Canis lupus familiaris: one gene and its partners. The protein of the gene in region 4 interacts with the protein of the main gene of each other region in a pairwise test. Links are inferred from orthologs where the notes say so. Each region holds a gene or a part of one and is shown on either strand. Other genes may lie near its edges. The genes, in order: GALNT2, TMEM11, UPK1B, KASH5, STX5, EMD and NSG1.

Region 1 (4,254 bases), on a different chromosome or scaffold from region 4:
CAAAGCCTAATACTGAAGCCTGGTACCCCGTGAAAAACATCAGGGCAGAGCGAAACGTGCTAAATACAGAACAAGAGCTTTGACTTATTATAGCATAGTATGAATCAAGAGAAGAAACATTAATTCCACTTGCATCTAAAAAACTATAGCTATTATTTACATTCTGCCTTCACTTGCATACCACATGATCTTTTTTAAGTCCATACTTTGCAAGCCCCCCCCCCCCAAAAAACCCAACAGATTTCCTTTCATCATAAGGATGAACTAAATTTGAAGACTCTTTAGTCTTTAAATCCATGGAAACAATTCAGGAGGAAGGAAGACTACCCAGTTTTACACTCTAGATTAGGAAATTCAGGACAGCGGGGTTCTATTCAGGCCCTCCAGAATGGTCTCGCAGCTTCGACTTTTATACCAGCATCCACAACCCTAAGTTAATGAGTCTTTTGCTGTGATTTCAAAAGCTATTGCATTTACACACCTCTTCCTCAACTGACAAATCACTAAACCATTCTAAGGGCTAGGATTAAATTTTATGGTTCGTTGACAGAAAGAATAGAATCCCAAATCACCAATCCATGTATAATTGTTCATTTCCCACACATTTTTTTCCTACCTGATCTCCATACCTTCCCATTGCCACTAGGTCACAAAGAGTTCTTGGATTTTTTTCTTTCAATTAAGGATACCCCTCAAAAACCAGCGGCTGAAGGCCACCAGGGAGAAAGCAGCCTCTCTGGATGCTAAGGACACACTGTTGCTGTTTCTAATCACAGGTACTAAGGAAAGTACTAAACCCAAGGAAAGAGAAATACCAGTGTGGCTTATTTGTTTGTTTTTCTTTTGCATGAAAGGCAGAAGGCTTTGCCAGGTCCCACCAGCATACCAGACCTTGCAGACCTGCCAAGGCCTAGTTTATTGCAAAGCAAAGTTTTGAAAAGAATTTCAGTTTAACATGAGCATAGTTTTTAAAGGGCTGCAGTGCTCCTACTGGATGCACTGCTCTTCACCATTCAAGAATAAACAAGAGACTTCAGGTACATCTACAGCAGTTCTCTGCATTAAAAAAAGAAAAAGAAATTGGGCTAAGAGCACCCTGTTGGCGCAGAACTAAGCTAGGCCAATTCAGCACATGGAAAGACTTTCCATTTCTGTTCCCTCCAGATAAAGCAAACCCATGCAATTTCCCAAGACTCACACAAGATACCTACCTCCATCTAATACCTTCAGGTGAGAATGAATGAATCAGTGAATCAATGACACAAACAAGGGGGGAAACCTCAGAGGCGGCCAAACCTCAGCGTTGACTTCACCTGTCTGACTTGAAGGCTAAAAAGTCTGTTCATGCACGGTCGGTCCCGTCTGGCTTGTTTCAGAATACCATTCGCTAGTTCCAGCCCAACCCGCGGTCCACCTCCATGAACTCAGAATTTCCTGGGTTCGCGGTGACACTAAACGCCACAGTAATGAGGGTTACAGGATTTTGGAAAAGATAGCGCTGCTTTCAAAGCCTCTTGCCCGCTAAGCGCCACAACCCCGCGGGCGGCATGTGCCCAGCCAAAGCCCTCCGCCGGCAGCGCGCGCGGCCGCAGGACCCCGCCGTCGGGGCTTCCCTGGCCGCCCCATTTCCTCCCGAAAACGCCCGGCTGTCGGGGGGCTTATGCGGTGCCCGGGGCCTAGCCCCTCGGCCCCCGGGAGCCTGCTCAAAGCACGCCCATAGGACAGGGACCACCCCCGCGTAACCAGGCAGCGGGGCTGGGAAAGGCACGCTCAGGGCGCCCGGGCCAGGCGGGGCCAGGAGGGTCGGGCCGTGCGGGCCAGAGCCTCGAAGTCGGGGGGCGGGGGTGTCTGTGGCCGGCCCCACTCCGGGCGAGGGGCGCGCGGGCCCTCGGCTCACACCCGCCCAGGGAGCCCCTTCTCTCCGGCACCCGGCTGGCTGCACCCGCCGCCGCCGCCGCCGCCCCCAGGGGCGATGGGCAGAGAAAGCGGCGAGACCCCGAGCTGACCCCGAGCTGCCCCCCAACTCCCGCCGCGCGCTGACAAGGGGGAAAGGGGGGAGGCTCTGCAGCGGCTTGTATCAAAGGGCTGGAAAGAAACTTGGACTCCTCTCTCCCGCACACGGCGCTTCGGAGAGGCGGCCGCCTCTCCCTCCTCTCCTCCCCACCCCCTTTTGTGCGTCCCAACACCCCCGCCGCTAAACTTCCCACCGCAGGGGACGGGGCTCCCGGCGGCCGGACCAGACTCAACTTCAGTTACGCGGAGCAGACAGAGGGGGACGTCTACCCGGAGGACGCGCACGGAGGGGCAGGGGGGCGCCGAGGAAGGCGTCCGGGGTCCCGCAGGGCCGCCGTCTCCCGAGCCGGCCGAGCGCCGAGGGCCCGGTGCGCCCCTGCCCCGGGGGGCCGGCCGGGAGGCCGGGGGAGGGGAGCGGGGGCCCGAGCGGAGGAGAGCGGAGGGGCGGGAGCCCCCGTCGGCGCCCGGCCCGCCTCGTCCCGGCGCGGGGTCCGCAGCGGGGCAGGGGGCGCGTCGGCGCGCGAGGGGCTGGCGGGGAAAGGGGAGCCGGGGGCTCGGGGGCCGGTCGGGCCCGGGCAGGGCGCCCCACTCACCTTCCTGCCGGCGCCGCCGCCCGCGCCCGCGGCCAGCGCGGAGCCGCCCCCCGAGTACATGTAGTAGGCGATGCCCAGCACCCACAGGAAGGCGAAGCAGAGCAGCATCCGCGAGCGCCGCCGCATTCTCCCCTCTCGGCCGCCGGCCGCGGCCGCCGCTGCTCGCGAGTGCTGCCTGGGGCCGGCGCGGGCGGGGAGCGGGCCGGGGGAGGAGCGGAGGAAGGGGAAGGGCGCGGCGGCGGCTCCTCCTCCGGCGCGGGCGGCTGCTCGGCGGCGGCGAAGGCGGCGCGCGCCCGGCGCCCGAGCTCCGCCCCGGGCCGGGAGCGCGGCGCGGCGCCCGAGCAGGAAGCGGCGGCCTCGGAGGCGGCGAGCGGGTCAGGGAGCAAAGGGCGACCAATCGGCGGCGGCTGCGGGGGCCGGGACGCGGGCCGGAGGAGGGGATTGCCGCGTCTCCATGGCGGCAGCACGCGGGGCTCCGGCGGGAGGGCGTCCGCGGGCCCGGCCCCGCCCCGCCCCGCCCCGCCCCTCTGCGTCCTCCCCGCCGCGGCCCGGCCGCCCCCGTGAGTGACAGGTGGCGGCCCGGCCCGGCCCGGCCCGGCGGAGCGCGCGCACGTGCACACACACACGTGCACACGCACCGGGGCCCGGCGGGGAGGCCGTGGGCGCCCCGCTCCCGGGCCTCGGGACCCCTCGGGCTCGCCCTTCCCGGCCCGCCCGCCTGAGTGCTTTGGTGCAAACCCGCCTGCTGGACCCGACTTCGCCCCTGCTCGCCGCAGTTTTCTTTCTAATCTCGCAGCAAAACATCCCTGGTCCCCAGTTGTCGATTGTAGGTATTTATTTAGTCAGAGGTGGGGGCCCACGGGTAGAATGCGAGCGGTCAAGGGAACGTTTTTCCGAGAAAATGGACAGCCCTCAGTAGCAGGATTATTTTTGTTTAATTTTGTTGTTAAGAAACGCGAAAGAGGAAGAAGGGATGCGACGTATTTTGTTTTTTCGATCTTTTCCTTTGAATGTGTTGCTTTCTTAAGAGAAGAAAGAAGAGTTAGCACATAAACATCTCGGGAAAATACACCTGTCTCGTAACAGATCTCTGTAACCTTGACGATGCCCTTGCCACACGCAAAGTTTCCCCGTGCTCCTAAGAAAGAAAGAACTGTTACTTGGCGCTGGTTGTTTCGAACGCGATTTCAGGAGCTTCCCCGTCTGGAGGATAAGGCAGCTGCCTGAATCTGAATCTCTACTCACCAAAATACAAACACAAACAAGCCTTCGGCACCGCTAGGAGAGGGAATGCCGGGAACTGAACTTCTAATTACTTCTTAAGTAGAAGAAAGAAAAGACATCGGATTCCAGCAGCGCTCCTTGCACTGCTGCCAAGGACTTAAGTGAAGTCCCGGCTTAAAGCCTCTACAAAGAGAAAGTCCAACACCAAAAACTAAAACTGAACACAGGTCAGGTACTTAACAGGGAAGAGGTTTGAAAGAGAATGGGACAGGAGGTGGCAGCCTTGAAGAAGCCTTGCTTCTGGGAGAAGTCAAATAAATAAAGAGAGGGTAATGCCCTTTGGAGGCCTAGCAGAGAAGGGAAAGAAGGAAGTACAAAGGGCAAATTAAAGATCCTACAGAAATAAAAGACGGCCAGTCCCTCC
Region 2 (2,609 bases), on a different chromosome or scaffold from region 4:
CAGATGAACTAAGAACACAAAACTAGGAGAAACGGTATATGTTGGATGACGGTATGGAAATTCAGAAGGATCTGGACAGGCTGAAACAAGCCAAATGGAAATGACAAGGAGTGTACAGGTCTATATTTAGGTTTGCCCATCAGGGGTGTGGAAAGATTCTGCTTTGGATGCAAAGTTTGCACTGAAGAGGCCTCAAATAGAATCCCGAAACCACCTAAAATGCCCCCATGGCCCATGGTCACAGCTCACTCGCTGGCCAGCTGAGTCTCTGGCCTCCGGATTTATCTTCCACCGGTGAGGGTCAGGTCACCCATCCCTAGTCCTAGGAGTTGGATCAGCTCAGCCACGTGAAGTGGGTCTTTGTGAACAGTGTTTCTTTTGTGTGAGAGAGAAACGTTTCCTGGCAATCCATACAGAGTCCTGGTGGTACAGGGTCAGTATGGGTGGGAGCCTCTGGGGGCCCTTAAGGTCCCTCTTACACTAAATTCCATTGTCCCTGTTCTTGAGGCATTGTCTTTTCCTAGTTGAATCAGAGGGCTTCTTTTCCTAAGCTGTGTGCTGGTGTTCTTGGGGCTGCTGGCCTCGGGTGTTTTCTGCAGCTTGTCCTCCCATGGTGGCCAGAGGAGTTTTGTTCTCTGTCATCCAAGGAAAAGACAACCCTATCTGTCTTGTGTTCTGCAGGCCAGGGATGACTACTTTTGAGCCTTGCAGAGGGTAGAGTGTTTGGCACAGCCAGCCATGGGTCTGTTGGTTTCCATCGAAGATTCGTCCTCCACCTGCTCTGGTTAACCAAGACCACGTTTCATTTTCCGACCTTAGGCCTCTGTGTTAACAGCATGCCAGGCAAAACATTCTTCCTCTGGGCTCCTTTGCAAACTTCACTCCACTGCCTTGAGTTAACCGCCAGGTTTGGTACACCTTGCAGGCAGTCATCTTAGAGATCTGGGTACTCCTTTTCCTTTGTCTTTCTACATTTCAGTATTTTACTCTTCCAGAAAAAAAATTTTTTTTAACTGAGTCACCTTGTGTATTGGGTTCCAAGGAAGATAACATAAGCGAGACATGGTGCCCTCAGACTCTCTGGTGAGCCTGAGGCCCCAGACTTCAGCCATGGACTTCTCCCCAGGGTCTCAGCACAGAAGTGCGGTGAGTGCTTCTCAGCCTAACTGTCTCCTCTTTCTCCTCCCACCCCCCCCAACTCCCCAAGGGTGAGCTTGTCGGCCACAGACTGTTACATTGTGCATGAGATCTACAATGGGGAGAATGCCCAAGACCAGTTTGAATATGAGCTGGAGCAGGCCCTGGAAGCCCAGTACAAGTACATCGTGATCGAGCCCACGCGCATCGGTGATGAGACGGCCCGCTGGATCACTGTGGGCAATTGCCTGCACAAGACCACCGTGCTAGCGGGTACCGCCTGCCTCTTCACCCCATTGGCGCTGCCCTTAGATTACTCCCACTACATCTCCCTGCCCGCAGGCGTGCTCAGCCTGGCCTGCTGCACCCTCTACGGGATCTCCTGGCAGTTTGACCCCTGCTGCAAGTACCAAGTGGAGTACGACGCCTATAAACTGTCCCGCCTGCCCCTGCACACACTCACTTCCTCTACCCCGGTGGTGCTGGTCCGGAAGGACGACTTGCACAGAAAGAGACTGCACAACACGATAGCACTGGCCGCCCTGGTGTACTGTGTAAAGAAGATTTACGAACTCTACGCCGTATGATTTCAGTAGGACAGGCAGAGGAGCAAACAGCCCAGCCCAGGAGAGACAAGAGTATTCAGATTGCCACAGTAACATTTTTTTGCTCTGTGAGGCAGCGGAGCCTGGGAAGGTGTTTGGTTTAATATTTGTTATTTTAAAAAAAATAACACAGGTCACAGGTGTACCAAGGGTTTTTCAACTCATTACACTAAGATGTGGATTTCCATAACCCACAGGGGGTCTGAGGTGTGGAAGTCTGACCAGGCAATGGAATGTTGATGGCAACGCTACTGAGGGGGTGTGAATGCGCTTGCGGGGTGGGGGTGGGGGGAGGTCTTTAAGTATATCGTTTAACTGTACCATCCAGAGCCAACCAGAAGCTATTGACCATTAAAATTATGAGAATTTCAACTTCAGGTGTCTTCTCTTTCCATTACTGCCTACAGCTGCTGCAGACAGCTCCAGGTGGTAGCTGGCACGTGGTAGCCGTGGGCACCATGGGTGCCGCCCTGTTCCTTGTTGCGACCTGGGATCACCATTCGCAGCAAGAACAGTCCTTTGAGCAAGGCAGGCCCAGACCCCTTCCAGAGCAGTCGCACAGCTCATGCCAGCCTCCTTTTCAAGGCCAGCACTGCTAAATGCTATTTGGGGACATGGTAGGATCAGGTGACGAGGCCTAGAGGTCACTGGGTTTCCACATGGGTCCATGTAGAGTGGAGGCCTGGGACCTCCTGTCCAAAGATTCTCATTTAGGACACACAGGTGGAACATCTGTATTTTTTTCAAAGCCTCGAAGCTGTTCCTGATGTGACCTGGAGTTCAAGCCCACTGCCTCTCCCAGATCTCCCATTCCACAGGAGCCAGCTCCTGAGCCCCTCCCTCATAGCAAAGGGCATGTTACACACC
Region 3 (3,957 bases), on a different chromosome or scaffold from region 4:
GATAGAAAACAAGCAAATGGGGTGAGGTGAATTTTAAAAGGTGAGATTGGTAGAGGGCTGTTAAGAGAGCCAATTAGTGGCTGTCCACTTCAGAAATGTTATCACCCTTGACTGAAAGTATGCAGCTTGCCCGAAAGTGTTTTCCACATTCAAGAATAGCCTCTGTGAGCCCCACCCTGTGGAAAACTGCCCAGTGGCCTGGCACCATGATGATATACTCCAATTGCTCAACATCCCAGGAACTCCTTTGCTCTGAGGAGGGCAAACATTTTAAAAGGCTAGGTTTTATTTTTTTTTCCTTGTGCCCTCATTCCATTTGTTTTCTTATAAAAATTACTCATATCCGTAGTGTTGATGTTTCCAGACACATTGAATGGGTCTAAAAACCATTGCTCACTAAACAAACCCTTTCAAAGCAGAAGAAAAAGAAGTGAGTCTCTCCCATCAAGCATGAGCTCATTTTTTCAAGTTCATTACCTCTTTTCCTCACCCAAGTTTGTTGGGCCAGAGCACACGCAAACCACACCTCAAACTCTAGCTCATGCTAGAGAAATTTGGATTAACAAAGGAAAAAAAGAGAGAGAGAGAAATAGGAGAGGAAGAAACAAGAAACACACTGTGCTGTTCCCTTAGCCCCGACCTTGAAACTCAGAACAAAGGCAGACAGTTGTTCGACTTGGAGGGGAGAAGAAAGGTGGGTGTGGGGATTTTAGATCAGAGCCATTGCTGGTCTGCTTATATTTAGGGAAGGGATGAGTCCCTGGGAAAGGTGACAAGCAGTGCTTGTTCCCATGGCCATGACACCCAGGGCTCACAGCATCCATTGGTTTTTCTCCCTTTCAAGCTCTAAACCTGCTCTCAGTAATATGGTAACTAGTAGCCACATGTAGCTATTTTCATTCAAACTAGTTCAATTACATAAGATTTAAAATTCAAAATAAAATAAAATAAAATTCAATCCTTGATGGGATGAGCACTGGGTTATGCTACACATTGGCAAACTGAACTCCAATAAAATAATAAAAAATAAAATTCAATCCTTTGGTTGCAATAGCCCCATTTAAAGTGCTCAATAGCACTTGCAGTTGGTGGTTATTGTATAGAACATTTCCATCATCACAGAGAGTCCTGTTGGATGGCACTGCTCTGGACTCTTGATGTTTGCCAGCTGACCTCAGAGTCATTCACCCACCTTAAGTCAGGACTAAGAAGCAGTGGCTCATTCTCAGGCAAGTGAGGACCTCAGGGGCGGGCAATGCCAGCTGGATGCCCGGCCCCAAGGCAGGAATGCTATGGAGACTCCTTGGGGAGGTAAGATTAGGGCGCCTCTTTATGAATTCAGCCTTTGCCCCAGTTAGGGAACATCAGGGGTGTGGGCAGCCTGCAGGGACTCATCGGTGTTTGCTCTTGGTAAGAATGTAAGCAGGAGAGGTCAACAAGAGACTCTGAGATTTCATTTGTTTTTCTCGACTAAATGGTGTGTAAATTCCCTTTTGGATTTACAAGTCTATGATTCTTTCCAGGTAGTTAAAAAAGAAATTGGTGATTTGGTTTTTCAGCCTATTGTAGCAGAAAGCAAAAAAGGCTGTTACAGCAGAAAGCAAAATGAGGAAAAAAAAAAAAAGCAAAATGAGAAAATTTCTTCCTCATTAAGGAGAACTAATCAAAAGGAAAACTGTTTCTTTACAAGATTTGAAAATATGTGTGTGTGTGTGTGTGTGTGTGTGTGTGTGTATAAGATCTAAATGAATTCTTTCTTCTTCTGGTTAGCCAACTGTATTCAGGGAAGAAATGATTGGTCAACATTGTCTTTAATTTAAAAAAGGACATTGAAATTAAAGAAATTCCAAATGTGTTCAAAATCTTTGAAACTAGTTATAAGTGGAGTTTTAAACCTATAAACATAAACTAATACTAGCATTATTGGAAACTCAATTCGTATTACATGTAGAAATGTTGTTACAATGAAAAATATATTTAGGATCTGTGGACCCTGTAGATCAACTAATTGGTGAAGAGTAAAAATAAATTATGTAAAAATAACATTACATAGATAAAGCTAATTTGTTGACTTATTTCAACTGCCACATTTCTTAAACAGAGTTTGCAGAGAAGAAACCATGAGTAAATTGCCTCACATATTCCATTACAAGTAGGCAGGATCAAATGATTTCAGACAAGATGACCAGGGAACTTTCTACTACATTATTAAGAAAGAACATGACCCATTTCCTTAAATTTTCTTTTTGCTTCTCTGACTTCACAAGGAAATTGGGGTCCACGGGGGTCTGTCTGAAACTTTAATCAGGAGACATAGGTTTTCCCAGGGTTCTTGGATTTTCTTGGTCGTTCGGTCAGGAAATTGGAGGGTAAAATTAGGATGGGTGAATAACACTCTCAGATCCTTCATTTCAGTTCTGAGAACTGGACAATTTCAAAAGGTTTGAGAAGGCAATTTGTACATTTAAAGTAAAAGAGAACAAAATCGTCATAATAGTCTAAGTTACAAAAAATGATGGATCTCTTCAGGAGGAAATTATCTTCTTCCCCTCGCCCTTTCAGGCCCCATCTCACCTCCCAGGAAAGCAACCCAACCATTGAGAGTGCAGTTGGCTTCCCTGCAGAGTGAGATCCGACTACTCACCTGCTTCTCCTCCTCCTCCTCCTCTTCCTCCTCCTCCTCCTTGGGCTGTCCTGGCCCTCTCTGCACGCTGCTCTGGCCTGAGGTGCTTTTCTACCCAGCACCAATTCTCTGAACCTCCTGGACCAGGGAGGAATGGTCTGTGATTGGGAGGAGGCATCTCACATGAGCTGAACCTGATGCCGCCTGAGCTTGCCTCACTGAGGCCGGAAGTAACAGGAAGTTTCCCGACTGGAGATTTCTGCTACTTTGGAATGTGTGATTCTGACAGATGGCAGCACCTTGACAGGCCTTAGCTCATCATCACTCCTCTGGATTTCTCCTAGGTCTGGGCTTTTGTTTTTGTTTTGATTTGATTTTTTTAAAAAAAATTTTATGATTTGATCCTTATTTTTGCTTTTGTGCCCTTAAAGGCCTATCTATTGTCCTGATTGCTCAGAGTCATGCTGGTACATGTCTGTCTGTCCAGGGTCACGTCTAGTTTCGGTTTTCATAACTTGCATATGCTACATTTAGGGGGGAGAGCAATTGCCCAATTAATACACCATAGGTGGTCCAAAGACCAATGAGAGTAATACTGCCCCTCCCTCTTCTCCCCTCCCCACCTCTGCCCTCCCCTCTCTTCCCCTCCTTTTGTCTTCCCTTCTCTTCCTTCCCTCCCCTTCCCTTCCCATCCACTGGAGCCACCACTTCATACCCAGCACCAACATTTCTGTTAATGTCTGCGTAACATATCATGGTTTATGCGCACAGTAGTTTATTTAGCCTACAGTTCGGGATGGGTGATGGCAGCAATATTAGAATTTGTTGAGTGCTTTCATCAACAGATGCAGGCATTTTCTTGGGTCTGGATCATCTCTGTAACAGGTTAGGTTCTTTAGGAAGCAGACCCCGAGACAAAGTTTAGTGTGCAGTATATTTATTAGGGAATGGCCCTGTGATTAATACCCTTGGAAGGGAGAGGAAAGAAATAGGATTGGGCAGAGAGAGAAGACAAGTGGCCATGCAGGTGGGACTGTCTCGGGCAACCCCCTCCCTCCAGCCGGGAAGCTCCAGGAGATGTTGGCCTGCCACGGTTGTTCTGCATGGGGCCCCTCTGTGATCAGTCCTTAAATAGAGGTCACCCTGGGAAGGTGGCTTTCAGGGTGAGGCTAGCCCTGAAGGGGGCTGACACTGGAGGCTGGGGTTGTCAGCACTCCCAGCAGCTGGGCAGCACACACCCCCTTGTTCGGGGGGGACCTGCATGGGGCATCGGTGCGTTCATCACACGCCTTATTCCTCCTCAGTCCTCCAGGGCCCACTTAGATATGGCTTGA
Region 4 (3,500 bases):
TTTCCAGCTGCCCCCAATCCCTTATTATTCTGTGTGTCTACAGGCCCAGGGCTGCCTGGCCCCCCCTTGCAGCCTCCCAACCTGTCCTTTGGGTGTCACAAGCTTCGAACATAGAGTTGAGTATTTGCTCCTCCAAGCTCAGCAGCGTCCCCAGGCTCCCCTCCTCCAGCTGGTCCCAGAGGTACACTGGGGAGACAAGAGGAATTGCCCACCCATGAGAAGGCAGGAGAGAAATGGCTTTAGGTTCTGTGCTCCTGCAGCAGGGAAGGAACTCCAACTACCTGGAGTTGGGGCTAGTGGGGACAGCAATGTAAGGGTCTTTGAGTGGCCTCCTAGCTCCCCACCCTGGGGATGCGGGTCCCATCTTTCAGGCCAGGAGGTGCCCCCTGCTGTCTAATCCTTTGTGTCCAAGCCACTTGGGAACCCAGAATGACAAAAGCTCTGAGATTGCCCTTTCCTCCTCTCTTCTCCTGCCGCCCAGGCTCTGCTCAGAGGGGGCTAGGGGCGGAGGAGGGCAAAGAGAGGATTCCGGGAGGAGCTGAGGGTGAAGGGGAGCCCAGGAGCCAGGAACAATCCAATAAGGCGTGGGCAGCCTGGATCAATTCTGCCGGCTGCATCTCCTGTCTAGGGGGCCGGGTCTCTCTCCTACCTGAATCCCCAGGCGAGGCTGGCGTCATTGGTGCCCACAGCCCGGGCCTGAGATGAGAGGGGTGAATGATCTAGGCAGGGTAGGCAGTCAGGGAGTGGTTAGGAGCTCAGAGCCCAGCTACGCAACTGTGTGCAGGTCAATTCTCCCTTTGGAGCCTCAGTTTCCCCACCAGTAAAATGAGTGGGTATTGATCCCCCTCCCTCCCTTACCAGGACTGGGAGCAGTAGGTTTGTGTATGGGAACAGCCCTCCCAACAGAGATACACAATGTGCATGTCCCCAGGACTGTTTGTTCATCTCTGTATCTATTGTACCGGCATATAGTAAGCACTCAATAAATGCTCCAAGATACAGGAGGAGATCCTCCACCCCAGGAGTTACTGGACTCTGCGTCTTTGGAACTAGAGGTGACTTTCAAGGTTCCCTGTCCTGCCCTTGAACAACCGGGTATGGCAGCAGGTCTCGCATGGGCAGCAGTCTGACAGACCCAAGAGGCAACCCTAGTAAGGAGCATAGACTCTCCGAGCCTCAGTTTCTTCCTCTGGAAAATGGGGCTGTTTCCTCCCTCCCAGAGAGGAAGTGAGGTAAAATCTAGAAAGGCTGGGGAGCCTGGGCGGCTCCATCAGTGAAGTGTCTGCCTTCAGCTCAGGTCATGATTCCCCGGATCCTGGAATCCAGACCTCATCAAGCTCTCTGCTTAGAGGGGAATCTGCTTCTCCCTCTCCCTCTGCCTGCCATGTTCCGTTTGTGCTCGCTCCCTGTCAAATAAATAAATAAAATTCTTAAAAAAAAAAATCTAGAAAGGCCCTGGGCTGAAGGTCTGGCATGTGGTAGAGGCTAAATAACAGAACTGAACATTTATTTAGCAGTTAGTGGATGCCTTTCCTCTTCTGGGGGTTTTGTATGGACCCTGGTGGCTGTTATCATTAGCCCCATTTTACAGAGGAGGAGACTCGCACAGAGAAGTTAGGAATTTGCCCCAGGTCACCTGTTCAACATACAAATCCTTCTTCTTCTTCTTCTTCTTTTTTTTTTTAAGTATGCTCCCTGCCCCCCAATGTGAAACTTGAACTCACAGCCCTGAAATCAAGACTCGCATGCTCTACCGACTGAGCCAACCAGGTGTCCATGATTGCTCTAATTCTTTTTAGTCTCAGGGGATTCTTTGTAGAGAGCTAAAATTCAGCCCCTTCAGGTTTGAACCCATGCTCTTAGGAAAAGGGGGAAGGAACCCACAGTTGGGGGACACCAGGGCCCCTGCTGGAGCTTTACCTGAACTCTCCTGTTTGCTCCTCTCATTGTGCTCCCCAGGTAACCAAGGAGCACCCTGAGGCCCAGTGAGAATCACAGCCTGAGAGGTCACTCCCTGGGGCTGCCCAGCTAGGGAGAGTGGAGCCAGAGTCAACCGGGGACTGTCTGGCTCAGGGGATCCATACGGGTCTTCAGTCCCTCCCTGGGGTCCCCCAGGAACATGTCACTGCTTCTCCTGTTCTCTTTTCTTTGTTTCCGTCCTCAGTGTCTCTATCTCTCTCTGTCTCTGCCTTTCTCTAGTTTTCTCTCTGGCTCCTTCTCTCCATCTTCCTCCCCATCTCTCTCTTTCCGGTGCCCTGCCTCTCTGTTTTCTCTGTCTCTGGGCTTCTTTTCCCATTATCTCGGTGACTCTCTGTTCCCCGAGCCTTCTCTCTCCTTGCCTGACAGTCTCAGCATCTCTGCCCCCTCCCTCCCTGGGTCTGTCTCCATTTCTCCCGGGTGTGTCCTTCCCTTTCCTTCAGAAGCCTCCCCAGTTGGCTTGGCCCTGGCCCACGGGATCCTTGGTGGCTGCACGCCCTCTGCTGGTGTCCATGAAGCTGCTGTGGCAAGTCTCTTGGTCCACCTGCCCTTGGTCCCTGCACCCAGGTGTCTCCCTCCTACCTTCCCCTCTGGAAAGCCTCCTGAGGCCAGAGTCCAGGCCCGTAGCCTGGAGAAAAGATGCAAGCCCTGCTGCTGGACCCTGGGAGCCTCAAAGAAAGCAGTCCTGTCTCTCCCCTAGGGTGGGAGCCTCTTCCCCCATCACAATAAGCTCTCCCACTTAGCAGGTGAATTTTAGAGAGGACCACCCAGTGTCTCCCTTCCTCTTACTTCTTTTTTTTTTTTTAAGATTTTATTTATTTATTCATGAGAGACACAGAGAGAAAGAGAGAGGCAGAGACACAGGCAGAGGGAGAAGCAGGCTCCATGCAGGGAGCCCGACATGGGACTTGATCCTGGGTCTCCAGGATCATGCCCTGAAGGTGGCGCTAAACCGCTGAGCCACCCGGGCTGCCCGCTTCCTCTTACTTCTGAAGCTGGCTTTCACACCATTTGGGTGTACATCCATCCAAACAATCAAGGACCATAACTGAGCTCCTTGGAGTCATACATGGTTCTAGGGCAGCACTAACCAAACAGGGCAGGCACGTGCCACACACTGTTCTTGAGTGCTTGAACTGTGGTGAGACTTAAGTCACCCTGTTAGTATAAACTACACACCATATCTTGAAGCCCTGGTATGAAAAAACAAAGGAATATCTCCAATACATTTTTATATTAATTACATGCTGAAAGGATACCACTTTGGATATATTAGGTTGAATAAAATTATTCTTGTTCATTTTGCCTGTTTCTTTTTCTTTTAAATGTGGCTACAAGGGGCTTCTGGGTGGCTCAGTCAGTTAGGCGTCTGCCTTTGGCTCAGGTCATGATCTCAGGGTCCTGGGATCGAGCCCCACATCTGGCTCCCCACTCAACAGAGAGCCTGCTTCTCCGTCTCCCTTTCCCTTTGCCTGCTGCTCTGCCTACTGCGCACTCTCTCTCTCTCTCTGTCAAATAAATAA
Region 5 (3,500 bases), on a different chromosome or scaffold from region 4:
GGGGAGCAGAGGATGCCTTGGTCGGGTGTAGAAAGCCTGGCTGTGCTACTTTACCTCATTGTGTGTGATCTTGGACAATTCACAGCTTTTACTCCTTTGCAATAGTAATTCTTGACAGGAATTCTGTATATAAGAAGTATTTTGTTGGTGCTTCCTGGAAACTACAGAGACTTTGACTCTTCCCTTCACCTGACTGCTGCCACAGGTGCTTTGTTGGTCAGCATGCTCCAGGTGTGAAATTTTGGTCTTCAGAGTAGTTCTGTGGCCATGTGCCTGGCCTCCTGAGGTGGAGTTGGGCTGTAGGATGAAGGGGGTAGTCAGCTAAGCATCTGCCTTCGGCTCAGGTCATGATCCCAAGGTCTTGGGATCAGGCCCTGCATTGGGCTCCCTGCTCTGCCTGCAGATCCCTCTGCTTGTGCTCTCTTTTTCTTTTTTGTCAAATAGATAAGTAAAATCTTTAAAAAAAAAAACAAAAAGGAGGATCCCAAAAACCGTGGCTCAGCAGTTTAGCGCCTGCCTTCAGCCCAGGGCATGATCCTGGGGTCCTGGGATCAAGTCTCACATCGGACTCCTTGCATGGAGCCTGCTTTTCCTTCTGCATGTGTCTCTGCCTCTCTCTCTCTGTGTCTCTCATGAATAAATAAATAAAATCTTAAAAAAAAAAAAAAAAAAAGAATGAGACCGTATTTCTCCTTTTCTGGCTCTACTCTGCAGGGACTGAACCAGAGCAAGGTCCAGAGCTTGGAACCTCCCAGCAGGCCCTTCTGGTCTGACTTTGAAATACCCACACCCCTGCTCGTAACTTCCACTCTGTCCTCTGTGCCAGAGGTGTCCATGTGGGAGAGACATTGGCTGAGGACCCTTTTGTTAATAGTTTTTCTTTGGCTCTCCCTAGGACATCAATAGCCTCAACAAACAAATTGCCCAGCTTCAGGATTTTGTGAGAGCCAAAGGCAGCCAGAGCGGCCGGCACCTGCAAACCCATTCCAACACCATTGTGGTTTCCTTGCAGGTGGGACCTGGGGTCCGTAGAGGGGGAGGCAGAAGGGAGAAAGGTGTTGTCTCCTTTGGCCGACCCTCTCTTCTTTTCTTCTAGTCAAAACTGGCCTCGATGTCCAATGACTTCAAATCAGTTTTAGAAGTGAGGACAGAGGTAAGAAGAATCTATGTAAGGGGTAGGACTCGGGATAAGGGCCCAAGGGGAAATTGGGGAAGAAACAAGTGCAGGGGTGAGGTTAACAGGGTCCTAGGCCAACAGGAGAGTCTCTCTCTAACACCTGCTTTCCAGAGGCCTCAGGACCTTTGCATTTCTCCCCCAACCCCAGAACCTGAAGCAGCAGAGGAATCGGCGGGAACAGTTCTCCCGGGCACCTGTGTCAGCCCTGCCCCTTGCCCCCAACCACCTGGGTAAGTCACTGGCAGTGCAGGGAGCCCAGAGGGGTAAGGCTCAGTTACTTTGGCTGTGACGGCATCCTCTAATCCTGTGAGGGCAGGGCTTGCGTAGGAGAATGGACAGCCAAGGGAGATGCCAGGATTTTTCAGAGATCAAACCTGATTGCTGGCATTCATGACCTGCACTTCATCTCCCACATTCTCACTGTTGGGGCTGAATTCAATCATGGGCAGTAGAATGACAGTTTCCAGTATTCTTTTAATTCATTCAGGTTCTCTCATCTAATTTTCACCACCACCTCTGAGAAGGCAACTATTACTATGCTCCATTTTATAGGGGGAGGAAACTGAGCTCTAGAGAGGTTAGATGACTTGTCCAGGGTCACAAGGCTAGTAAGTGGCAGAGCTGGGATTCAAATCCAGGCCATGTGGGCTTTGAACCTTTCAACCACTAGAAAGTGCTTTTTCTTTCTTTCTCCAGGGGGCAGTGCTGTGGTTTTGGGAGCAGAGTCCCGTGCTTCTGGGGATGTGGCCATTGACATGATGGACTCTCGGACCAGCCAGCAACTACAACTCATCGATGAGCAGGTACCTGGGCTCTGAACTGGGGAGGAGATGCTCCTCTGTCCTCCTCTGCAGGCCACCAGCAAGTGTTTGAAATGTACCTTGAGTAGAGTGGCAACCTGGGAGGGTCCTAAAGAGGCAGGCCCTGCCCTGAGGAAGCTCCTAGCGCTGACGTGTGCTCTCCTTCGAAGGATTCCTACATCCAGAGTCGGGCAGACACTATGCAGAACATCGAGTCCACAATTGTCGAGCTGGGCTCCATCTTTCAGCAGTTGGCCCACATGGTCAAGGAGCAGGAAGAAACCATTCAGAGGTAAGACTCTCTCTCTCTCATCCTAGACAGAAGAGCCTTCTCTTCCCTGTGGGGTGGCATCTTAAATGTTCCCAGGGACAGCTGGATGTCCTTTGGAAGAGTAGAGTGAGTCTGGCCCACCCAGGGAATCCATTCAACAAGTGTTGATGGAGCGCCTGTTTTTTGTCAGGTGCTATTCTAGGTACAGGGGGTATAGCAGTTAGTAGATGAGTGAAGTCTCTGTAGTTTAGGTGGGGAATTCAGTAGGGTGGGTGAGGACAGCTGTTCAAAAGAGTTGACATGAACTTTTCAGGTAGTGATAAGCTCTACACTGAGAATTACAGTGGGATGATGTGTGAAGAAAGGGGCTAAGTGATTCTTCTTGATGGACTCCTAGGCTTCTTCCATATTTTGGCTGTTGTAGATAATGCAGGGAACATAGGGGCGCAGATATCTTTCTGAGTTAGTATTCTCTGTTCCTTTGGATAAATGCCCAGAAGTGGAATTACTGGATCATGTGATTAATTCTATTTTTAATTTTTTGAGGAACCTCTACACTGTTTCCTATAGTCACTGCAGCAATTTGCATTCCCCCTAACAGTGCGTGAAGGTTCCTTTTCTCCACATCATCACCAGCACGTGTTGTTTGTTTGTTTCTTTCCTTTTTTTTTTTTTTGATACTAGCCATTCTGAAAGGTGTGAGGTGGTACCTCATACCTCATTTTTTTTTTTTTTTTAAGATTTTATTTTATTAACTCATGAGAGACACAGAGCGAGCGAGAGAGAGGCAGAGGGGGAAGCAGGCTCCACGCAGGGAGCCCGATGTGGGACTGGATCCCAGGTCTCCAGGATCAGGCCCTGGGCTGCAGGCGGCGCTAAACCGCTGCGCCACCGGGGCTGCCCCCTCATTGTGGTTTCATTTGTACTTCCCTGATGATTGCTTTTTTTTTTTTTTTTTAATTTTTATTTATTTATGATAGTCACAGAGAGAGAAAGAGAGAGGCAGAGACACAGGCAGAGGGAGAAGCAGGCTCCATGCACCGGGAGCCTGATGTGGGATTCGATCCCGGGTCTCCAGGATCGCGCCCTGGGCCAAAGGCAGGCGCCAAACCGCTGCGCCACCCAGGGATCCCCCTGATGATTGCTTTTGAGCATCTTTTCATGTGCTTGTTGGCTGCGTGGATGTCTTCTTTGGAAAAATATCTATTTAGACCTTCTGCCCATTTTGCAATTGGATTTATTTGTTTGCTTG
Region 6 (3,923 bases), on a different chromosome or scaffold from region 4:
CAGGCTCTCCACGGCCTTGCAACCTCGCGCGCTCACCCGCGAGTACGCCGGGGCCCCCTGTGCTCGGCTCACCCCGGGGCCCACCCAGGCCCAAGCGCGCAGAGCCGGCCCAGCAGGTCGTCGGGGGCTTGAAGGCTCCCCGCCCCCCCAGGCTGCCACGGGGACGCCCTGGACAGCAGAGGAAAGCCCCGACGCCCCAGGTGGCTGGCGCGGGGGTCGGGCGCACGCTGGCCGCCGCCCGCACGCCGGGCTCGGCCCCCTGCCAGCGCCCACGGGCACGCCCAGTGCCTTGCAAGGATGCCCGCTCCTGGGGTGCCCGCGGCCTCCTGGCCCAGTGCCCCATTTCCTCCCGGGCGCAGTGGGAGGGAGGGAGGGAGGGAGGGTGGGAGGCGCTGGGGACCTGCGGGACGACGGGCGCAGGTGGAGAGCGGAGCGGGGCGGGGTGGCACCGGGGGCCGAGGCGGCTGCTGCCCGGGCCTGGGCCCCGCGGCCCCGAGGGCCCGCTCTCGGGATCGGGGTCCCTTCGCGCTGCGGCGGAGGCGCGGCCGGCCCGGGGCGGCCGGGGAGCGCGGGGTGCGGAGGGGGCAGGGGGCTGCGGGGACCGTCGGAGCCCGCGTGACTCAGGGAGCGCGAGCCGCGCCCAGCGCGTCAGTCCTGCGCCGCTTTCCTGTCCTGGCCGGTTTCTGCCGGTTCGACTTGCGTAGGTCCCCACCCCCGCCCTCCCGACCCCGACACGCCAGCCGGTGACGCCTCGACCGCCCGCCCCGCCCCGCCCCCACGTCGCGGCGAGCCCACGCTCGTCCCCGCCCCCGCAAGCCCGACTCCTCGCTCGAGCCCCGCCCCTGCGCGCCAGCGCGTGACGCCCCTCGGCCGGCGGGCCCCGCCCCTCCGGAGCGCGGCCCCGCCCCGCCGCCGCCGCCAGCCTATCCCGCCCGCTTGCGACGTCTGACGTCATGACGCCCGCCCCGCCCGCTCCCACGGTCCCCCGCTCCGCGCCGGCGCCGCCGGCCCGGCCCCGCCCCGCCCCGCGCGCAGTCCGCAGAGCCCGCGGCCGTGACGCGAGCGTGACGCAGGCGTGACGCGAGCGCTGCCGCTCCCGAGACGCTCGCGCCGCCCCCGCCGTGCTCGGAGGCAGCGGTAGCTGGGCCCGCGTCGCCAGGCCCGGGCCCCCCCAGCTCCCCGCCGCCCGCCGCCCGCCAGGCCCGGGCCCCCGGGTCCCCGCCGCCCGCCATGGACGACTACGCGGTCCTGTCGGACGCCGAGCTGGCCGCCGTGCTGCGCCAGTACAACATCCCGCACGGGCCTGTCGTGGGTACGCGGCGGCGAGCGCGCCCCCTCCCCGCCCCCCCCCCGGGGTCCGGCCCGCGGCCCTGACGCCCCGCGTCCCGTGTCTGGCCAGGTTCCACTCGCAAGCTCTACGAAAAGAAGATCTTCGAGTACGAGACCCAGAGGCGGAGGCTGTCGCCCCCCAACTCGTCCGCCTTCAATTTCTCCTATCGGTTCTCGGGTGAGGCCCCCGCCCCGGATCTCCACCTGGCCTCCCAGGGGGACGGGGTTTGGGCGACGGGGGGCACGGGGTCCGGAGGGTGTGGCAGGGGCGGTGGCTGGGAGGGGCACAGGAAGAAGGGAGGGGAGCCGGGGGCAAATGGTCCCGCCCCCCCCCCCTCAGACTTAGATTCGGCATCCGTGGACTCGGATATGTACGATCTGCCCAAGAAAGAAGACGCCTTGCTTTACCAGAGCAAGGGTAAGGCTGGGCGGGCGGGGGGGGGGCACCCTGGGGGGGGCACCCTGTCACCCTTACCCCCTCCCTCAGGGAGCCTGGTGTTGGGGGGACCTGGGATCTCAAGCCCGTCATCCTCAGCAGCCCCAGAGGGGAGAGACGGTGCCACAGGCTCCCACGTGGGACTGAGATTAGGGCCAGGTGGGCGCAGCCACTGTGCACCTTGCTACCGCTCTCCCCCCCTTCCCAAGGCTACGGCGATGACTACTACGAGGAGAGCTACCTGAGCACCAGGACCTACGGGGACCCTGAGCCTGTGGGCTCCTCCAAGGGCTTCCGCCAGCCATCAGCTTCACTCGCAGATTCGGACACCTTTCACCACCAGGTGAGTTGGCTGCCGAGCACCTGCATACAACCTGTGGGGGTCATAGCTGGGCTTGGACAAAACCTGGACGGGGGGGGGGGGGGGGGGGGGCGCACGCGGTAGGCCCTGTGCTTCCCGAGAGGCAAGGTAAGTGCACACCTCCCTTGGCAGGGCCGTCCTTGGGGGAGTGTCAGACCTAACACTAGGGCACCTGGGACGCCGTGCACCCTGACCTGGGATCTAGGTTTGAGATCTTTCTCAGACCCCCCGGGGCAGAAAGTAAGGTGCAGGCGGCCAGGATACCTGTCGAGTTGTGGAGCGGGTGACAAAGCCCTACCGGGCTAAGGCTGGTAACTCAGGAGGGTTTTGGAGGGAACAGGGTCCGGGTGTTTCAGCTAGGCTAGTTTGCAGTGAGGACGGGACAGGCTACAGGCTGCTGACTCTGCTGGCCAGTTCCCCTCTCCCTGACTGTTACCTGCAGGTGCGCGATGACAGTCTCTTCTCTTCTGAAGAGGACAGCAAGGACAGGTGAGTGGCAGGAAGGGCCAGGCAGCGGGTGGTTCTGGGCGCAGGCCCCCTGGCTCACCTGCTGTCCTCTGCCTCAGGGAACGCTCCGGGTATGGCCGGGACAGCGCCTACCAGAACATCGTGCACTACCGCCCTGTTTCCAACATCTCCAGAAGCTCCCTGGGCCTGTCCTATTATCCCACACCCTCTTCCACCTCTCCCATATCCTCATCTTCATCTTCCCCCACTTCGTGGCTCACCCGTCGTGCTATCCGGCCAGAAAAGCAGGCCCCTGGGGCTGGTCTGGGCCAGGACCGCCAGGTCCCACTCTGGGGCCAGCTGCTCCTGTTCCTGGTCTTTGCTGCCTTCCTGCTCTTTGTTTACTACTCCATGCAGGCTGAGGATGGCAATCCCTTCTGGACGGAGCCCTGAGGGGCTGGCTTCGTGGCCAGCTGTTCCCGGAAGTCCTGGCTGACTGCCTTAGTAGTGTCTGCTGGGGGAGGGGGTGGGGGCTTTTCTGTGTGTTCTAGCTTCGGTGTGCTGGGCTTGGCCCAGGGCAGTGCTTGCTCCCCTGCCTCGTTCTGCCCAGGAGGTGGCAAGCCCAGGCCCTCCGCGGCATGGCGGGCCCGGGCAGGCCTTCCTCTGGAGTCTCCTGGTCCTGCTTGCCTCTGATCCAGGGCCCAGGAGGGTAAGACCCTTCTCCTGGAGAGGAGAACATGGTTGTTGTCATTGCATGCCTCCTGTCTGTTGTCACCTCGTCGGGGGGGATTAACCCAGGCCACCCTGACTTTGTTTTCGTGGACACAATAAAAAGACCATTTATTTTTAACGTGTGGGCTCTCTTTGCTGGGAAGGACTTGGGCTGGGAGCCTCCAGGCCTTGGGTCTCCACGAGCAACATCTGGCTTTGTTCGCTCTCCCTTCTTGCTTTGGGGTTGGGGTAGGGATCGCATGCTACCCACGGGCACGTTTGTGCTTTACTGGTAGGGTTTGCTCCCTGACTCGTGACCCAAAGCTGCTGTAACTAGGCAAAGAAGCGTGCCCCCACGGGATGCAGAGAGCTCCCCCATAAATGCAGGTGAGGGTGCGTGCACAGCACTGGCTACAGATGTTCCGACAGGGAGGAGCCGACAGCCGGCCTCAGTACCCAAGGGCAGGTGGACAGGGAGGAAATGCGGCGAGTGGCGGGCTCCTCCCGGGCGGCCGCTTGTCCGGGGGGGGGGAGAGGCCCACAGGATGCCGCATCACCCCTGTGTAAATCCCACCCCTCACCTGCCTATGTTCTTGCTTATCTCCAGGTTTTCTGTGCGGGAGGCGAGCACCTCCACCT
Region 7 (3,930 bases), on a different chromosome or scaffold from region 4:
CGGAGTCAGGAGAGAAAGCAGCCCATGCTGGCTGCCACCAAAAAGTGGTCCAAGGGCCACAAAACCCATAATCACACACCTGCCGTCTTCATTCCCTGATGTGTGTGCAGCTCTCCCGACGCTGAGGGGGGGCACGCCTAGCGTGACAGTCTGGGTACCGGCCGGGCTCTGGAGCAGCCTCTGTGCATCACCCTGTTGTCCTCTAGTCCCTACTGTCCCCTACTAGCTGTGTGACATGGAGCACACACCCTGCCACTCAGAACCTCAGACTCCTGGCTCGTGAAATGGGAGCAAGGCTGATCTCGCCCGGCTGCAGAGAGCAGACGGGAATCCACACGACGCTCGGCACCGTGGGAACCCGCTCAATACTCCAGCCGCCTGCGTTCGTCTGCATCTGCCACTAACACGCAGGGTGACCTTGGACAAGACCCTCAATTTCCACATCTGTAAATCGGAGGCAATAACGGTAAAGAAATTTAAGCACATGAACAAATGCCTGGCACGTTGCAAGCATCAACAAACGTCAGGTGAGACTGGCCCTGACGCTGCTGCCAGCTCCGTGACCCCTGTCACTGCAGCACCTCAGCCCTCAGTGCACATTCTCAGGACAGACTCCACTTATGACCCTGACTGCGTGACCTGATCCCACAAGCCCCATCAACTGGGGCAGGTGACATCGCCTCCCTGAACCCTGGCTGTGAGCAACACAGTGCTGTTGCTCGGGTTAAGTGAGGTCTTGTGTGAGAGAGAGGTCTTGTCCCAAGGAGAAGGGACCATGAGGCCCTGCCAGAAGCTTCTGTGTTTGTAAGGATTGTGGCCTTCAGCCGTGTGACCTTGGGCACATCCTGTGAACTCTCTGAGACTCCGTCTCCTCATCTGTGACCTCAGAAATCTTCTAGCCCAACCACTGGTTCCTGTGTCTGGAGCATCCCTGCCAGTTCCGTCCTTTGGTTTGAACACTCCCAGGGACGGGAGACTCATTACCTTTCAGACCTACCTAGGCTACTTCTCAGTGATCCGATTGTCCAGGATTTCACACCTGCCTGAAAGCCCCCTCCCTGGTATAAGCCAGACAATTCAGAAATGGAACAGACTGAGTGCAAAAGAGGAGGCTCAGGCTGAGCGGAGGGAGTCACCTGACAGAGGTGCTGCCTCGGGACACAGCGTTCCTGGCACAGGCCGCCACCACTCTGGGCCTGGGGCTGAGGTGGGAGGGGAAGGTGGGGGCAGTGGAGCGGGCTGAGCCGGCTCAGCAGGGAAAGGGGCTGCACAGGGGGAGGCAGCCCTGCCCCAGCCGTTCCCCCAGCCTCCTTTGGACCATCAGTGCCCCAGAGTGGCCCCACGTGGCCGGGTGCACAGGTGTGCTCCTCGGGGCCTCTTGCTGAACTGGAACACCTGCTGCCCCCGCCCCCCCACCCAAAACGGAGACAATAGAGTTGGAGGGATGGGAACCACTCCAGAGGACTAAGTCAAAGGGTCCATATGGGAATAAAGGAATCTTCCAGAAGGAAAGGCCGCATCGCGGCGGAGATATTCCCCTATCCCCATCCGGTGGTCAGCCGTGGCCAGCATGCCGAATAAAAGACAAAGACCTGAGTCAGAACCTCCTCACCAGGGCTAAACGAGACAATAAATGTAAATGCACTTCGGGGAATAGAAGGAGCTCAGTCGTGGCCGGGGTGGTTTTTAAGCAGCAGCAAGGTGGTCAGAGCGGGCGCCGCGTTTATTATTTTAGGTTTGAGTTCTACAATACCATTTTCCAGACTTTCAATCATTGCATTTACCTTTGTAAACGCTAACTCTTGAAAACATCCTTAATGGGCAGAAACCACTTGATCGGATGCTGTACTCGAGAAAAGAAGGGACTCTTGAAATCAGAAGAGAAAACCCCACTTCGGGGAAAGGATGCTGAATGGTTGGCCCCGGCTACACTCCCACCCAGCGCGCAGGGCGCTTACTTGAAGATTTCACAAAGGAACAAAGAGAGGAAGGAAGCCCGGGGAAGAGCAGACACCCTGCGGCATCCAGGGCCGGCCGGGGGCGCGGGGGCGGAGGATCGCGTCCAGCCCCCGGCGGGGTCCAGCCTGGGGCTCTCCGCGGCGAGGGGGCCGAGGGGGGCACGCCCCAGGCCGCCCCAGGCCCTCACCGCCTGCTGCCCGGGGCAGGGGCCCCTCTGTGACAGGACTCCCAAGAACACCGAGAGGCGCCCGTCGCCGACCGCGCTCCCCTGCCGGGACCGGTCTCCGCCCGGGGCCCCCGCCCGCCCCGGCGCACGGCCGCGCCCGAGACTCGGGGTGCGCCCGGCGGCGCGGGGTGCCGGGGCGGGGGCTCTCACCTTGTCCGGGGGCGGGAACTGCAGCTGATTGACATCGAGGGGCGTCATCAGGGGGATGGTGTCGAAGCCATCCTCCAGCAGCGGCTGCTTGGTGCCCTTCTCCGCGAAATTGTTCCCCAACTTCACCATGGTTCCGGGAGAGCCGAGGCTGCCGCCTGCGGGGGGGGGGGGTCACCGCGGGCTCCGGGCTCCGGGCCCCCGCCTGGCCTCGGGGCAAGAGGGGTGGGGGACGCGGGGGGAGGGGGAGGGCAGGGCAGGGCAGGGCAGGGCAGGGCGGGGGGGGCCCAGCCCCTACCCCCCGGGGACCCGCGGACCCGGGCTCAGGGGCGCCCCGCGGCGGCGGAGGGACCCGGCGGAGGCCCCGGCACTCACCCCGCCGGCTCGCAGGTCTGGCTCGGAGCGCGCGGCGAGGTCCGCGTCGGCCGCTCCCGCGCGCAGCAATGGCGGAGGCGGCGCCGCGCGGGGCCGGGCGGGGGAGCCGAGCGATTGGGCTCGCGGCCGCTCCCTCCCCCCGCTCGCCGCCTCCCCTCCCGCCGCCCCCGGGGCCGCCCGAGCGCTGAGTGCGCGCCTGTGGCGGCGGCCGCGGCAACTCCGCCCTGACGCAGCGCGCGCGGCCGCGCGAAGGGGCGCCCCGGGACCCGCGCCCGCCCGGACTGCGGGGGGCGCGCCGGGGCGGGGGGGAGCGGCCCCCGGGGTGGGGGCGGCGGGGACCCGGGGGGAGGAGGGACCCGGGGGAGGGGGGCGGGGCGGGGCGGGGGAGGCCAGGGACGGAGCGACCCCCGGGTGGGGGCGGCGGGGCTGGGGAGGGGCCCCCGCGTGAGCGCGGCCCTGCGGGGAGGGGGGAGGCGGGAGGGGTCGGGGCGGAGGGAGCGCGGGGCGCGCTGCAAGCGCTGGAGGGAGGGGGCAGCGGTTCCTTCCCGTTCGCCCGAGGAAGCGGGGGTCCCCTCCCTGCAGCCGCTGCCTGGAGCGTCCGGGTCGCAGAGGAGCGGCCCCGGTTAGGGCGTCACTTTGCGGACGCGGGGCCAGCCCCGGCTGCAGGACCCCAGATGAGGAAAGCGGGGCGCGGGGGCCAGGCAGGAGCTGGAGGCGGCCGCGGCCAGGGAATTGGGCCTTTGCAGGCACCTGTCTGTCTCGGCCGTGCCGGGGCCCAGAGTAGGTGTCCCCAGAGTCCCACTTCCGCACCCCAGCCTGTTCCCGCAGCCGCCTGCCTCTCCTGCTCCAGGACCGCAGGGAATGCACTGAGCCAGCCTCGCAGCCCAGGCCAGGAACCTGGCCCCGGGCACCCTGAATTCCAAGGCCCCAGGAGGGCCCCACCCCTTCCATACAAGAGATCATTCATTGATTCCCACCCGCCCCGAGCTCCGAGCTCCGAGCTCCGCAGCAGGGCTGCTGACAGCTCCCCTGGCAGCCTGGGGGAGGCAGGTGCCCCAGGTCCTGGCCCCCCTCCGGCCAGGTGCCGGCTGCGGGCATCTTCCTGGCAAAGGCCTTTATACCACAGCACGGATGCGGTGCCACTGCGTGTCTGTGTGTGGGGTTTCTTGTGTGGAACCCCAGCCCCTTGTGTGGAGCTTCCCTGCTGACGCTTGGATACTTCC

What was found.
Region 1: the proteins of KASH5 (region 4) and GALNT2 interact in binary tests that used the Homo sapiens proteins (3 or more experiments, as listed by UniProt). The two-hybrid records come from large-scale screens. The link is inferred for Canis lupus familiaris from reciprocal best matches to the Homo sapiens genes KASH5 and GALNT2.
Region 2: the proteins of KASH5 (region 4) and TMEM11 interact in binary tests that used the Homo sapiens proteins (3 or more experiments, as listed by UniProt). The two-hybrid records come from large-scale screens. The link is inferred for Canis lupus familiaris from reciprocal best matches to the Homo sapiens genes KASH5 and TMEM11.
Region 3: the proteins of KASH5 (region 4) and UPK1B interact in binary tests that used the Homo sapiens proteins (3 or more experiments, as listed by UniProt). The two-hybrid records come from large-scale screens. The link is inferred for Canis lupus familiaris from reciprocal best matches to the Homo sapiens genes KASH5 and UPK1B.
Region 5: the proteins of KASH5 (region 4) and STX5 interact in binary tests that used the Homo sapiens proteins (3 or more experiments, as listed by UniProt). The two-hybrid records come from large-scale screens. The link is inferred for Canis lupus familiaris from reciprocal best matches to the Homo sapiens genes KASH5 and STX5.
Region 6: the proteins of KASH5 (region 4) and EMD interact in binary tests that used the Homo sapiens proteins (3 or more experiments, as listed by UniProt). The two-hybrid records come from large-scale screens. The link is inferred for Canis lupus familiaris from reciprocal best matches to the Homo sapiens genes KASH5 and EMD.
Region 7: the proteins of KASH5 (region 4) and NSG1 interact in binary tests that used the Homo sapiens proteins (3 or more experiments, as listed by UniProt). The two-hybrid records come from large-scale screens. The link is inferred for Canis lupus familiaris from reciprocal best matches to the Homo sapiens genes KASH5 and NSG1.

What each region holds. Positions count from the first base shown.
Region 1 is NC_049225.1:9,621,604-9,625,857, forward strand, and holds the start of GALNT2 (polypeptide N-acetylgalactosaminyltransferase 2), read right to left. Parts: upstream 2,801-4,254; 5' UTR 2,733-2,800; coding exon 2,607-2,732; intron 1-2,606. UniProt on the Homo sapiens protein: Catalyzes the initial reaction in O-linked oligosaccharide biosynthesis, the transfer of an N-acetyl-D-galactosamine residue to a serine or threonine residue on the protein receptor.
Region 2 is NC_049226.1:42,883,548-42,886,156, reverse strand, and holds the end of TMEM11 (transmembrane protein 11, mitochondrial), read left to right. Parts: intron 1-1,207; coding exon 1,208-1,724; 3' UTR 1,725-2,109; downstream 2,110-2,609. UniProt on the Homo sapiens protein: Plays a role in mitochondrial morphogenesis.
Region 3 is NC_049254.1:23,511,391-23,515,347, reverse strand, and holds the start of UPK1B (uroplakin-1b), read right to left. Parts: upstream 2,801-3,957; 5' UTR 2,645-2,800; intron 1-2,644. UniProt on the Homo sapiens protein: Component of the asymmetric unit membrane (AUM); a highly specialized biomembrane elaborated by terminally differentiated urothelial cells.
Region 4 is NC_049222.1:107,767,635-107,771,134, forward strand, and holds part of KASH5 (protein KASH5), read right to left. Parts: intron 693-3,500; exon of another isoform or gene 678-692; coding exon of another isoform or gene 650-677; intron 187-649; coding exon 82-186; intron 1-81. UniProt on the Homo sapiens protein: As a component of the LINC (LInker of Nucleoskeleton and Cytoskeleton) complex, involved in the connection between the nuclear lamina and the cytoskeleton.
Region 5 is NC_049239.1:54,388,737-54,392,236, forward strand, and holds part of STX5 (syntaxin-5), read left to right. Parts: intron 1-895; coding exon 896-1,012; intron 1,013-1,096; coding exon 1,097-1,153; intron 1,154-1,325; coding exon 1,326-1,407; intron 1,408-1,873; coding exon 1,874-1,980; intron 1,981-2,147; coding exon 2,148-2,269; intron 2,270-3,500. UniProt on the Homo sapiens protein: Mediates endoplasmic reticulum to Golgi transport.
Region 6 is NC_049260.1:123,237,323-123,241,245, reverse strand, and holds EMD (emerin), read left to right. Parts: upstream 1-1,141; 5' UTR 1,142-1,230; coding exon 1,231-1,312; intron 1,313-1,399; coding exon 1,400-1,507; intron 1,508-1,669; coding exon 1,670-1,747; intron 1,748-1,974; coding exon 1,975-2,108; intron 2,109-2,541; coding exon 2,542-2,615; intron 2,616-2,692; coding exon 2,693-3,026; 3' UTR 3,027-3,423; downstream 3,424-3,923. Other genes in the region: collagen alpha-1(I) chain-like, read left to right, coding at 1-358, 421-747. UniProt on the Homo sapiens protein: Stabilizes and promotes the formation of a nuclear actin cortical network. Stimulates actin polymerization in vitro by binding and stabilizing the pointed end of growing filaments. Inhibits beta-catenin activity by preventing its accumulation in the nucleus.
Region 7 is NC_049224.1:70,378,274-70,382,203, reverse strand, and holds the start of NSG1 (neuronal vesicle trafficking-associated protein 1), read right to left. Parts: upstream 2,801-3,930; 5' UTR 2,708-2,800; intron 2,491-2,707; 5' UTR 2,465-2,490; coding exon 2,336-2,464; intron 1-2,335.